Linked DNA regions of Tribolium castaneum. The protein of the gene in region 1 binds, or shares a complex with, the protein of each later gene. Links are inferred from orthologs where the notes say so. Each region holds a gene or a part of one and is shown on either strand. Other genes may lie near its edges. The genes, in order: RNA transcription, translation and transport factor protein; Archease.

Evidence for each region.
Region 2: RNA transcription, translation and transport factor protein (region 1) and Archease share a complex: the UniProt entries of both Homo sapiens proteins name them as parts of the tRNA-splicing ligase complex. The link is inferred for Tribolium castaneum from reciprocal best matches to the Homo sapiens genes RTRAF and ZBTB8OS.

The regions. Positions count from the first base shown.
Region 1 is NC_087396.1:19,110,082-19,113,463, reverse strand, and holds RNA transcription, translation and transport factor protein, read left to right. Parts: upstream 1-1,392; 5' UTR 1,393-1,478; coding exon 1,479-1,536; intron 1,537-1,588; coding exon 1,589-1,810; intron 1,811-1,858; coding exon 1,859-1,948; intron 1,949-1,997; coding exon 1,998-2,158; intron 2,159-2,209; coding exon 2,210-2,413; 3' UTR 2,414-2,543; downstream 2,544-3,382. Other genes in the region: rab-like protein 3, read left to right, coding at 3,062-3,382. UniProt on the Homo sapiens protein: RNA-binding protein involved in modulation of mRNA transcription by Polymerase II. Component of the tRNA-splicing ligase complex and is required for tRNA ligation.
Region 2 is NC_087398.1:7,383,038-7,385,896, reverse strand, and holds Archease (protein archease-like), read left to right. Parts: upstream 1-1,603; 5' UTR 1,604-1,710; coding exon 1,711-1,762; intron 1,763-1,812; coding exon 1,813-1,837; intron 1,838-1,887; coding exon 1,888-2,284; 3' UTR 2,285-2,306; downstream 2,307-2,859. Other genes in the region: sub (kinesin-like protein subito), read right to left, coding at 2,652-2,859. UniProt on the Homo sapiens protein: Component of the tRNA-splicing ligase complex required to facilitate the enzymatic turnover of catalytic subunit RTCB. Together with DDX1, acts by facilitating the guanylylation of RTCB, a key intermediate step in tRNA ligation.

The DNA.
Region 1 (3,382 bases):
AAAACAAGCGACTGATTTGATATTTGGAAACTGACTTAGCTAGTTCTGTTTGCAAAATTCACTCATGCAAATTAATCGTTTCTGTTTTTGCGCAGTTGTTGAGTGAGACTTCAGCCATCGCGTTAAAAATGTTCAAAAACTTTGTTAAGTAGTGATTTTGTATGAAAAGTACTTACTTGTTGGAAATTGTGTAAATGTGCTCAAATAAGTTTTTGTGACATTTTTCAACCTAGTTATTGGATAGTGCATTTGATATGTATTGGGGCCATAAGGGGAAATTCGATTCAAAATGTAATCTCTCAATATCTCACGGTTACTCTTATTTGAAAGTTAAGTTATTGTTAGACTTATTTTAATTTTATTTATGCATAATGTTGGGTGCTATTAGTGTAAACTTTTGTTACGTGTTGTTACTGCGGGGTTGTGCTGCTTCCAGATTATCTATGCAATTTCAAACGTTGAACAGTCTTTAACTAGAGCATGACAGCGCATCTCAGCACCGAGATTACTACACTAGCCATTGTTTGTTACTGTTATCAGAAAGTTGCGTGATATTTATTTAATATCGATTTTAGTGATAATTCTTTTACTTCGTTGATTGGATATTATAGACGAAATATTTACAAAATGTATAGTCAACAGCATTTCTAAATGAAAGTATAACATGTAGACTTTTAGTGATTTTAATGTTTGAACAATATCCAAACTTAACAAGTATATTAACCCTATAACTGATGGATTTTGGGCAGTAATATTTCGGTACGAAAACATTTGTACCCAAGTATTACGTTTTCTTCTTATATCAATATCAGACCAACGATTCTGTAATTATCTACGTCTTACACCCGTTATTACTTTGCAGTCTTTATTGGTCGCCTCAAATTGCCTGTGATAAAGAAATTAAATCCCGATTGTTATTTTTATTTATTGGAAAGTTACTTATGATTTAACAAATTCTTTCGGACCGTTGATTTTATTTTTGCGTATTGTCACCATCAGTTACGAAATATGTTTGAGTTGAGAGAATATTTCAATGATTTTGTTTGGGACAATTGATAGAGAATGTTTACCACCATATTTTTGTATTTAACTATTTATAGGTGTTATATGTTGTGTTATACACAAAATATAGTATGTATATTATGTCACTTACCTATGATATAACTTAGTTTTAAGAAAAAAAGTAATATGTAGGTTTTTATTAGCCCTGGCGGCATTTAAGTATAGGAATATTTATTTTACAAAAGACTGAGCACGAGCTATTAGAAATTTTTATTAATTGTACTGTATGTGCATTTTTAATAAACACTTATGTATTATTTCCACTTTTTTATTAAAAAAAACTTAAGTTTTAATTACCCTTCATACAATTTTTCTTTTTATACAGATTTCTCAGGAATCATACAAGGTCATTGACATTTTGACACTGACAGCACCGGTAAAGTTTTATTTATTTTATCACTCGTGAATAATTAAAAATGGTTAAAAGGCTCTTATCAGCATTAGAGTACCCACAGTGTGATGTGAACGTTAACGGTGATCACGTTGTCTCGATAATTTTAATTTAACTTCAAATACTGATTTTTAGACGAAGCAACATTCAGAAAAATTGTGGCATGGTTGGAATTAAATAAAATTAATAAAGCTGATTCTAACGTGGCAAATGGTCTTAAAAACGTAACGTCAAATGATTGGCCTAACCATTTTCAAAAGTACAAGGAAGCTCTAGGTGTACCCAATTTACAGAGCCATCAAGAACAACTCCAGTGGCTTTTAGGTTATGCTGTGCAAATCGAGACTCATAATAATAGTAATATTGGTCGTAGCCACAAAACACGAAAATAATTTTTTGTTTTAGGGGAAGTATACATTAAACATGCAGTTGAGAACTTAAAGGCAACTAATGTTCCAACTGTTGTCACTGAAAATCCCCTTGATAAATTAGATTGTACGTAAACAAGTCGATTTTTTCGGTAAATAATTTTAGTAAATTTCAGTCCACAGTAAAGAATTTGCAGAAGGTATTACAAAATTGGCACAACTATTAAATATAACGCCCCATCCTGACCCGCTTGTGACCTTAAAAGCAGTTGCAAAGCTTGTAACTACAAGACTGTCGCCACAAGCTCAAGCCAATCCAAGCGAAGTCATAATAAAGGTAATTTGTGCGTAGTTATCAAGCCTCAAAAATCTAAATGTGTTTTTAAAGGGCACACCTTTTCCTTTTCAAGAAGCTGACTTGGGGTTTGATTTGAATGATCCTGTTTTAAATCAAGCGGCAAAAGTATTAAGAATTTTATACATCCATGATCTAAGAGATTTGCAAACGAAAGCCAATGAACTAATTGTGGCCGTTCAAAACATCACAGCTAATCCTAAAACTGACACAAAGCTGGGAAAAGTCGGAAAATGAAGTGTTTATTTCAGTTCTAATATTTATTGATTCTGTTCCTTATAATCACGAAACGGCGATTTATCAAATATTTCTCCAACTCCTAACGCTACACAACCTGCAATTACACTAATAAATGTCTAGTGAAGCACTTTTTGTGTTAATTACCTAGTCCTAAAGAAGTTAACGAGTATTTGTACTTTTGTGTTGGTTGTTTGCCATGGTAGATGAGGTAACCACCAATTGCAGTTAAACAACAAATTGACGTGATTTTACAAGCTAAACAACTCTCCTCTTGCTTGTTCCCCATAATTTGAAATGTATGTATAACCTACAAATTACTTGTCAAAAAGCCGGAGCCGGCTCTTTAAATTGGAACTTAAGTTACACTTTTACAGTTGACCAATTACGTTATAATTGCAATTAAATTACAATTTGTCATGAATACAACATAAAACAATGTGTTGTGACTCTTAGTCAATTATTTGCATTGTTTTTAATTTGTAAATTGACTTGACGGTGCCAATTTACAAATTTACCTTCATTATTTGAAATAAGCGACTGGAAATTTACGGTCACGCACACCAGTTGTGTGTCAAGTTGACATTGACAACGCAGATAACCTCAAATATTTCCCAGTTGTAAAGTGTAATTGTGTGATAAAAAATAATGACGGCAATAGACCGGGTGCGTATTATGGTGTTGGGCGACTCCGGCGTTGGCAAAACCTCCTTCGTCCACCTTGTCGCACACAACGAGCCCATAAGGTCCCCCAGTTGGACGGTCGGGTGTTCAGTGGAAGTGAAGCTCCACGAGTACAAGGAAGGGACAAAGGACCAGAAAACCTACTTTATTGAATTCTGGGATGTGGGCGGAAGCAATAATCACAGAAACACAAGACCTGTATTTTACAACCCTTGCCACGGGGTGATTCTAGTTCATGATTTAACAAACCGAAAGTCCGAATTGAATCTCCACAAATGGTTGCAA
Region 2 (2,859 bases), on another chromosome or scaffold:
AGTGCTAGCGTTGTTGTTGTTACATTCAGATAATAGTTATATATTTTTATTTATTTTAAAAAGAGAGAAAGAGAGAGGCAATGATCTTTCATAACGTATACATTATAAATTTAAGACAAATAGAATTTAAAAACGTAGATGTTAGTGGCTCTTTTCACTCAACCTGCACAAATAGTTGATAGGAATGGAATTTAAAATAACTGTTTTTACCGTCTGATGACAGACCTCACACACAAGCCCCATTTTTGACACATATTCCCAAAGAAAATTAACTGAAATATTGTAAATGACTGAATAAGCATTTTTCTAACAAATAACAAGTGTTGTTATTAGTGTATATAGGTATATCTATAAGTAGTCTAAGTAAGACTTAATGATAACAACTGGGATGACCAGATTTTATATGAAGCCATTTCATCTGTAAATAAACTTGAATGTACCTAATTATTTATAAAATAGTTCTTTTGTTCGACAAAATAACGAAAATCACTGTTGTAAACACCAAATTGCATCATCGGTCGGTAATGACGAGAGTCAGATATTTGCGGTCGGATTATTGGAAGATTCTCTATTTTAATTGCAAGTCAAGTTTATTCTTCCATCGAGGTATTTTTGTGGAAACGTTGTATGATGATTGTATAGAGATTAAGCTAAAGTTGCAGGAATTTAATATAAAAACTAATCTATAAGTCCCAAGATTATTGAGTTAAGGTTGAAAGTTTTTTTATTAGTGAAAAGTATTATAATATTGAAAAACGATGAAATAAAAAATTCAAACTAGTACTGTTTAATGTTGTTGATAGTACAGTTGACAATAAAGAGCATTTCGGGAGAATTTTTCTTTCATAATAATTTCGGTTTCATTTTATTTACATTATCTTTCCCTCGGTTACTGTTTATTTAATTTTTATCGATCCTCTTTTCTGTTTTGTTTTCATTTGCGTTGGCGGTTTTTCACGAATCACAAACAATGCAAAGGTAAGTTGCTTCATCATCAACTATTTTTAGCAAAAGTATTTGTTAATTCACCATAAAATAATAAAAAAAATCCAAAACGAAAATTAAATTTATAGCATATAATAGATAGGTAGTTCATACCTTAACAGCAAAAATATTTAGTTATGTAATACATGAGCAAAACCTACAAAAAAAACACAAATATTACTATTTTATATTTACATAATGTGGCAATTACATTCAGTTAATAAAAGATAATATAAAATAAAAGAACTTTGTTAAAACAATACAAATTTTCTTTAATATCTATACTTCAGAAAGAAGTCACTGGATTTCAAAATCACTTTTTCAAATTTTCTCAATTACTAATTATGATTTACAGTAAATGAAAAAATGTATAAATGTTCTTGACCTTGTTGTTAATTGATAAGAATTTCTTAAAACAAAACCCTAATAAATGAGTTAAAATAAAATAACAGATTTATCTAATCAACAAAACCTTCTTAATTTTAAAATTAAAAATAATATTTGAGATTTTGTAATAAGTAAGTATTTAATTATGCTGCAAAAAAATTAGTGACTACTTTCTTTCAAATAACCTTAATACAGGCAACCCAAAATACACCCAATGCATGTTCGCTGTTTCGGGATTTACCACCTTCACGATTAGGACATCTTACTTATCAAATGACTGACAGCTAAAATTTTTGAGGTTAGGCACAAAAAGTGAACACATTTTTTTTTAATTAAAAAATGGAAACATTTACAAAAGAAGAATTAACACTTCCACCATGTAAATACGAATGTAAGTTATCAAAAAAATCTATAATTTTTTAATGTCATGTCGATTCGTAGATTTGGATCACACTGCCGATGTCCAGTGAGTCATACTTATCTCAGATCCGAAAATATTTTATTAACAATTTCTAGATTACATGCTTGGGGAGACAGTTTAAAAGAAGCATACGAGCAATGCGGTCTTGCTATGTTTGGTTATATGACTGAAATTAATACAGTGGAAATTAAACAGTGTTCAGAAATTGAAGCAACAGGAGACGATTTGGACGGTTTACTTTTCCATTTTTTGGATGAACTTTTGTTCTTGTTTAGTTGTGAACCATTTCTAATTTGCAGTAAATTAGTTATCACAGAGTTTAGAACAGAAGGTGATGAATTGAAAATTAAGTGTAAATGTTATGGGGAAGAATTCACGTTAGGGAAACATCCACAAGGCACAGAGGTCAAAGCCATCACATATTCCGCAATGCAAATAATTAATGACCCGGAAAACAAGAAGTTTGAAGTGTTTGTTATTATCGATATTTAGCAAAATCAATTTTTTACTAAAACACTCGCATTTTATTTCTCACCTTTTTGATAACTAATTAATTAATTATGTCTTCCATCTATTAGTTTGCGTCCAGTTAAATAAATAACAAATAGCAGACTCACTTTACGCATACAACAATTCAGTCTCAATTCGCTATTTTTATTGAAATATTGTTATGTAAATGCCTTTCCAACTTATAAAAATTGAGGGCCTTAGTAGTGATTCAATAAAATATGAAAATTTTTCAAGGAAAAGGGTGTTAAATCAAAATTAACTTTTACTGAAAAAATATTGTATTTATCTCATGGTAAAAATTAAAACGGCAAAACAAATTAAAAACAAATAATAACAAAACAACGATTACTTAATCATCCCATAAGTTAAAAGCCACACCATTTTCACCATACGTTTCGGAACCTTCAATTTCTTCACTGATCACCGACGCGTGATGTTGTCTGAACGCCTCTAGCTCATTTTCCAATTCAAAAATTCGCTCCTTTAATTGAATATTTTCAATTTCGAGTTGTCTGCATTTTTCCTCAGCTGCCCGATATCGACCAAACCCTTCATCT